Macaca mulatta: one gene and its partner. The protein of the gene in region 2 purifies or fractionates together with the protein of the main gene of each other region. This does not show direct contact. Links are inferred from orthologs where the notes say so. Each region holds a gene or a part of one and is shown on either strand. Other genes may lie near its edges.

The links.
Region 1: the proteins of DAPK1 (region 2) and IFI30 purify together in Homo sapiens (affinity purification with mass spectrometry; 3 studies listed by BioGRID and IntAct, counting the BioPlex papers as one, with this or other methods). This does not show direct contact. The link is inferred for Macaca mulatta from reciprocal best matches to the Homo sapiens genes DAPK1 and IFI30.

The regions. Positions count from the first base shown.
Region 1 is NC_133424.1:18,688,479-18,692,389, reverse strand, and holds the start of IFI30 (gamma-interferon-inducible lysosomal thiol reductase), read right to left. Parts: upstream 2,429-3,911; 5' UTR 2,400-2,428; coding exon 2,268-2,399; intron 1,174-2,267; coding exon 991-1,173; intron 903-990; coding exon 828-902; intron 609-827; coding exon 516-608; intron 1-515. UniProt on the Homo sapiens protein: Lysosomal thiol reductase that can reduce protein disulfide bonds. May facilitate the complete unfolding of proteins destined for lysosomal degradation. Plays an important role in antigen processing.
Region 2 is NC_133420.1:118,444,390-118,448,200, reverse strand, and holds part of DAPK1 (death-associated protein kinase 1), read right to left. Parts: intron 3,679-3,811; coding exon 3,558-3,678; intron 799-3,557; coding exon 610-798; intron 1-609. UniProt on the Homo sapiens protein: Calcium/calmodulin-dependent serine/threonine kinase involved in multiple cellular signaling pathways that trigger cell survival, apoptosis, and autophagy.

The DNA of each region.
Region 1 (3,911 bases), on a different chromosome or scaffold from region 2:
AGATCGCACCACTGCACTCCAGCCTGGGTGACAAAGCAAGACCCTGTTTCAAAAAAAAAAAAAACGGCCGGGCACAGAGCCAGTAGCTCATGCCTGTAATCCCAGCACTTTGGGAGGCCTAGGCGGGCGGATCACGAGGTCAAGAGTTCAAGACAAGCCTAACCAACATGGTAAAACCCTGTCTCTACTAAAAATACAAAAATTAGCCTGGTATGGTGGCACAGAACTGTAATCCCAGCTACTCAGGAGGCTGAGGCAGGAGAATCACTTGAACCCGGGAGGTGGAGGTTGCAGTGAACCGGGATTGTGCCACTGCACTGCAGCCTGGGTGACAGAGCGAGACTCCGTCTCAAGAAAAAAATAAATAAATAAATAAAATAAAGAAGGGTAGTTGTTTTCTTGGGCTGCACAGACAGCAGTGGTCAAGGCTGAGACTTGAATTTGAGTCTGCCTGGGTGTAGGGAAGGTTACCACCCTTGTCCCCCTCCTCGTGGGGAGTGAGGGGCGTCACTCACTAGTGGCAGACTTTTCTCCATGTCGTCAAACTCTTCCATGCAGACAATGGTCAGGAAGGCTAGATCCATGTCAAGCATATCCAACAGGCAGGCCTGGGGTTTGGAGAGGGGGCAGGAGAGGGCATGAAGGGGGCCCAGGGTACCCTGACACCCTCTCGTAATAATCACCAGTACCCACCCAGGAGATAGGGAATAAAGATGTGATTAAATGGGAGCACACGAGGCAGAAGACAGAGCTGGCATCCTCATATTTACCTCCTGTACATCGGACGGTTTTCCCCCACCCCGGTGTGGGGCCCTGGGGATGCTCACCTCCACCTTGTTGAGTTTGCACTCCTCTTCTCCATGCTGGCACTTGAACTCCCATCTGCCGCTGACATTTTGTTCCTACAAGGCAGCAGGGTGAGAGCTGGCTGGCAGGCTGGGTCCCCTGCTCCCCTGCCCACGTGCCTCAGTTTCCCCAGCGCCCATGCACCTGTGCATTTCCGTAGGGCACCAGCGTGACATTGAGGATCTCCATGACCATCAGCCACGTTGGGAAAAGCTCTCGGACCAGGAAGGCGCGGCAGCCACCGCACAGTGCTTCATAGTAGAGGGTCACGTTGACAAGCGGTGCGTTGGACTTCTTGACGGGCCCCCGCAGGTATAGATTGCCCATCTGTGGATTAGGAAGGGGTGTGAGGCAGGTGTAGCCCTGGGCAGTTCCCCACTTCTCTGAACCCCACTTGGTATTCTTGTAGAAAGGGGGCTGTCATAGGCAATTCATCTTGCACACCTTCCAGAACTTGCCAGGTGGAATCTTGACTTTGAGACTTTTTTTTTTTTTTTTTTTTTTTTTTTTTTTTTTTTTGAGACAGCGTCTCTCTCTGTCGCCCAGGCTGGAGTGCACTGGCACCATCTTGGCTCACTGCAAGCTCCGCCTCCCGGGTTCACGCCATTGTCCTGCCTCAGCCTCCCAAGTAGCTGGGACTACAGTCCCGAGTAGCTGGGACTACAGGCGCCGGCCACTACACCCGGTTAATTTTTTTGTATTTTTAGTAGAGACGGGGTTTCACCGTATTAGCCTAGCCAGGATGGTCTCGATCCCCTGACCTCGTGATCCGCCCGCCTCGGCCTCCCAAAGTGCTGGGATTACAGGTGTGAGCCACCGCCTCCGGCCTTGGCCCATGCCCATTTCTTGCCACTCCACCAGGAGACTTTGACTCTGAGCTGAGCAAGGAACCCACGTGAACCCTTTCCAAGTCCGACCAAACAGAGGCGGCACCTAATAGGTGCTGACTTCCGGCTTCAGCTGAGGGGTGGCGGGCGGCCCGTGTCGCTGGATCCCTGAGCAAGTCGCTCAGCTTCTAGGGCATTTGCCTAATAGGTCCCAGAGACACGCAAGCCCTGCCCTGGCTGGAATGAATGCACCAGGGGTAGCAGCAAGAACGCATGCCGGTGGCCCTCGGCCAGCTGCTGAACTTGTGCCCTGGACCATAAAAGGAGACCCCAGCTCCTGCCCCAAAAGTACACAATAGGCGCTCAATGAACCCTTGGGCGGGACGAGGCGGTGGAAGCAACTGCGCGTCTCAGATGCGGGATGCGAAAGCGAAACGGCACGGAGGGACTCTGGCCGCAGTGCCGGGAAATGAACGGGGTTTTTCCAGTCGGGGCCCTGGTCTTCCCCTGTGAAGTCTGGGGAGAAAGAAGGAGCCGCCTGCCCCGACAGGGCGCCTGTCCCCTCCAGTCTGCCCGCCCTGTCGCCGTCCCTACCTTGTAGTTAACTGGCGGCCCATTCCCAAAGATGTCTAACGTTTGCAGAGGGGACGCCTGCACCGCTGCCGTGGGGTCGTCCAGCAGCAGCAGCAGCGGTGGCAGGAACAGCAGAAGTGGCGACAGGGACATCGCTGCGGGGCAAAAGTGTGGCGGCTGGGGCGGCTGCCTGGGAAATGAGCGCCTTTAACCAGGGCCACCCTAACCCGGGCCCGCCTCCCGGTGCCCACGCCCCTGGGCCCCGAGCCAGCGTCCCTCCCTCCTCCACTCCTCCCTCTGGGTGTCCCACCCCCACCCCTGCCAGGTGCTGGGTCCCCAGTCACGAGGTCACTGGGCCCCTTGGCAATCAGCCCTGCCTAGGCATGTGAGCCCTGGCGCAAGAGGACCTTTAGGGGAGGTGAGGTGGGGTCTTTGAGATAGACACAAAGAGGCTGAGAGGAATGGTGGTGTGTCCATGCACTCCTAGACTTTCTGGGGGCGGCTAGGGGACTTGAGGCCTGGGACCCACTCTCAGAGTGGGCCTGTGATCTAACGGGGTGACGTCGGATGGAGGCTGGGGATGGGATGGAGGCTGGGGTGTTGGGGGAGTAACAAATGTTCAGCCCCCTGAGAGTGGGCAAGCCCTGTGTGGCCAGGTTCCCTCCCTCCAGCCTGGCCCGTGACCTCCCTCACGCCCAACCCCCACGTCCTGCCCCTTGATCCTTCCCCCTCAAGCTCCTGAGCCCGATGCTCCAGACCCGGCTCCGTGGTCCCGTGGGACTGACTCAGGCTTGACCACAGCCATGCCAGAAAGCAGAAGCTGGCACAGGGAGCGGCATGTCATTTCTCTAGGGTACCCCCCCTCCAGTCCCACTTCCGACTTGGGGTGAAGAGAACTGGCCTTCCTTCTTTTCACCATCTAAGGCTTGTGGAGGGTGGGGGCAACCTGGCCTTCAAGGGGCACCCATGGGGGAAAGCAGGGGCCTGTGCTGTCTGGGATAGGGGTGGGACGGCTTGGAGTCCGTCTGGCTTTGGATTTGAGTGACGGAGCCTTAGCTTTCCCTTCTGTGTAATGGGGAGAAGGATAAGGTTTGGGGAACAAGAGTCACCATGGAGGGCTCAGAGGCAGGTGGGGGAGAGTTGTCCCAGGTTGGGGCTTCCGGGTGGCATGGTCAGGCCTTGGTGCCTACACAGGACAGTGGCCCCAGCAGTGAAGGCAGAGAGAATAGCCTGGAAAAAAGGCCCAGATGGAGGTTGGAGTGTTGGGGGAATAATTGAGACATTCAGACCCTGCAGGGCCTCACATTCAGGGCAAGACACACCTGATCCTAAGGAAGAAAATGTCCCAAAGACGGCTGGAAGATATAGCTGAGTCCCCAGCTGTGCCCCCTTCTAGCTGTGTGGAAGACCCCGACCACGCACACGGCAGCTGGTTTGGGAGCCGGAGTTTCCCTGAAGTCCCGGGGGCTGGATGGTCCCCAAGCCCATCCCTCAGACAACCAAACCGTTGGCAAAGCCCTTTTCCTTCTCAAAGCCTCCCCAGGACTCACCGCCTCAAGTCTGGTGCTTACCCTATGCCGGGTGGGATTGAAGAAATAACCATAAATATAATCGCTACAATTTTTCCAGTAGTTACCAGCCCAGCCCTATTGGAAGAAATGGTAA
Region 2 (3,811 bases):
GCTGAATGTCACAGAACCAGAGCAAAGCCTCCCATTCTCAATCATTTCTGCAGGGCATTCATTGCCTGCTAGAGTTTTTTAAGGTGCATCTCTAATTGTGATTACTCTGTGTATCTGTGCACTAGAGTTCTCTGTCTTTGTGGCTCCAGACATCGTCTCCACAAGGATACCTTACTGCCTTCCTCAACTGTTTTTGCGCCCAGGAGATCTGTGTGGAGCTGGTAACTCCATGCTGATAGAAGGCAGCCATCCTGAAGGCTGCCAGGAGTAGCAGGTTAAGCTCCCAGTGCCCAGGGGGAGTGAAGAGAGACCCAGTCACCCAGGGCAGCGGGCACTGCACTCCCAAACGAACAGACTCTGGAAACAAAAGCAAAACACTGGAAACAAAAGCAAAACACAAGACAAAATGGCAGCTCCTAGGGTGAGCCGAGAACTGCAGTTCAGAGCATCATTTGAGGCTGTTTGTCACACGTCTGGAAATATTGTAGGTAGCTGGGCCATTTCCACACTGCTTCCCCAGGCTCACACCACCTCCAAGAGCTGGAATTTGGGGCAGGCTGAGTCCCTGGTACCTCTCATGGCCCCCTGCCTGGGCTCCCAGGGCCTCACCTCGCCTGTGCTGTGGAGCTGCTGAGCAATATGCCTGAGGTCCTCCTCGCTGGCCAGAGGGTTCAGCTGGTCCTGCACGTCGTACACAAACTGCTGCAGCGACATCAGCTGGTTGGGTCCATTGAGCTTCCTCCAGGAAGGCAGCGTGGAGATGATTTTCTCACACAGGTGAGTCATGGGAGGGCAGACCTAGAAGGGGCACGGCGGGACAGGTCAACTCACCTGCAGCTGTGGGTGCTCCGAGCAGAGCCACAGTGGAAAGGACGCCTTTCATTCAGGCGCCTTGCATATGATTTGATCTGATGAATGAGTAGATTTGTTTTTGTTGTTGTTTATGTTTTTTTTCTTTTTTTAGACTGGATCTCGCCATTGCCCAGGTTGGTCTCAAACCCTTGGGCTCAAGTAATCCTCTTGTCTCCGTCTCCTGAGTAGCTCTGACTACAGGTACACACCACTGCGTCCAGCTAGTTAGTGCCTTTTGGGTTGAGTGCTGGGGCAGTTGTTTTTTAGACTCGCCTTGAAGCCTAATCTATTGCGCAAATATAAAGTTTTATAAAGGCTCTTTGGTTCATGTTAAATAGATTTTGAGTCTTCCAGGAATGTTTTGGAACTGTGGACTCAGTCACTCAATCAACTAATGTTCACCAACTCCTAATGTTTCACTCCCTCATTTCTTCCTCCCTCCCGCCTTTCTTCCCTTGCTCTCTCTCCCTCTTGTGACTGTTTCACTCAGGCAATGATCATTTTATGAACAGAGGAAAAGAGAATGAGTATCATCATCAATATTAGAGTGAGTGTTTACCAGTAAATTCGGCATTCATGGGGACTGTTGCTGAAACAGTGTTTCCAATTAGACCCATTCTTGGTATACAGGCTGAAGTGGATTTTTAACCTTTTAACTTGGCTAAGTAAATCAGCCTGTGTTACAGACTCATGCAATCCACATACCTCTGAATTAGAAACCACACAAGCCACAGGCTACACTGTGCCGTTAATTCCACACTCCCCTCTCAAATTCTTTCATGTCAGCTAAATTCCACTCTGCATTCAAAAACAAAATTCTCAGGAGTGAGTGCAGTTGACATGGTGGGCTCCACCTGCCTGAGCTCAGGAGTTTAGGGGTTGGGCGGGGGGATTGTCTGAGATGCAGCAGATCATGCCAGCGCCCAGCTCAAAAATCTCCAGGGATTCCCTCCTGCCTCAGGAATGCAGCCCCAATCCAGACCTGGTGGGGAAGCGCTGGGGCCTCACAGATCACTGTTAGTTCCCAGATCACCGCCCCGGTTTCTGTGACAGATTCCTCCCAGGCCTCACCAGACTACCCCCTATCTTCTGATGATGCCACAATGGGGATGCCCCAAAGAGGATATCTGGTGTGAAGGGCAGGGTTTACTGGAGGCAGGAAAGGGTTTCCCGAGAATTCTGCAAGCATGTCTGGAACGCGAATCTGGTGTGGAAAGCACAGCATTTTCCTATTAGCAAAGCAGTTAAAAAAAAAAAAAAAAAAAAAAAGAGAGAGAGATACACCCAGAGGCAGCTTTAAAGGTAAGAGAGAGAGACAGGCATCTGCCCACATTTGACCTCAGGCCTGGGCAGCAGGAAGAGTCCAGAGTGAATGCCACCACTTCTCCACTGGGATGCCTGCCCCTTTCTTACCAATTCTGGAGAGCTTTTTGAGCATTATGATGTGACCCTTTATCTGTCCAATGCATTGAGAAGGCTTTTTCCAAGCCTATTTCACCTTTCAGCTTTGTTTACTTGTTTGCCAGAAAAAAATTTAAAAAATTTTTAGATTTTCAAATAGATGTATTTTCTTTTAAAATTTCTAGGGTTTTAGATCTTGGTTTAACAGGTTTCCTCAGTCCCTAGTTATTTTGAAAATACACTCTCCACAATTTCTATTCAAGATATTTATTGTTTTATGTTTTTACATTTAAAAGTTTTAATCCATTTATTTTTGGACTTTGTAGGGTGTAGGAATCCAACTTTATTTCCTTCCGGACAAATAGCCAGTTGTGCCAGGTTCATTTATTAAATAATCTTTACCCCATTAAATTCAAATAACATATTTATTTTCCATTACATTTCTAAAGATATTATGATTTACTTCTACACTCTCTAAGCTTTTCCTCCTATTTAGCTGTATTGATTATCAGGGGCTTTATAATATGTTCAATTAATTTTTCCATGGAAATTTTAAGATAAAAATCCCAATCCCCTCAACCCATTCAGATGCTAACTGAAATTGTATTACATTTATATAACTAGGGGAAAATAAAATATTCAGTCATATCTTACAACCCAAGAATGCAGTCTCGTTCCCTTTGTTCATTTATTCTTTTCTGTCTTTCAAAAAAGTTTGTGACTGTTTTTCTACTTTTCTGAATTTTTAAAATATTCCACAATAAGTCACTTTTGAAATTTTTTTTTTTGTTTAATTGGCCAGACATGGTGGCTTACACCTAAGCCTAGGAGTTTGAGACCAGCCTGGGCAACACAGTGAGACCCTGTCTCTACCAAAAATCAAAAAAATTAGCCAGACGTGGTGGTGCGTGCCTATAGTCCTAGATACTTGGGAGGCTGAGGCAGGCTGATTGCTTGAGCCCTGGAGTTCAAGGCTACAGTGAGCTATGATCACACCACTGTACTCCAGCCTGGATGACAGTGTGAGATCCTGTCTCTGAAAAAATAAAATAAGTGTTTTTAAAGAAACCAATAAATTGGTAAGAATTTCATAAAATTGAAGTGGTCCACCTTTGCCCTTAATAACCTTTTATCTCCCATCGTCTCCTTGTTTCTCTAGTCTTCCTTTCTTTTCCCAGAGCACTAGAATGAAAACATGTCCAGGCAGACACCTCTTACTGGGTCCTACTATGAAACAGTTCCCTGAAACTGAAGGCAAACCAGGAAGTACAAAGGGGTCCAGGCCCTCTCTAGGGTGTACTTACCGAAACAATCTGGCTTCGTATTTCTTGCAGATGATTTCGAAGCACCTTCATGTCCTTTGACCCAGACGCCCCAGCATCCAGAACAAACAGCTTATTTGAAATGTGAAGATCATTTCCAAACCTAAGGGAAGAGCAGCAGCCTCCTCAGCAGTGACTCAATCTCCCCAGGCCTTTCTATGGAGGGGCCAGGCTCCTACTGGCTCAAGAGCCTGGTAGGAGGCAAGGAAAGTCCTGGTGTCCTTGCAAAGGCCCCT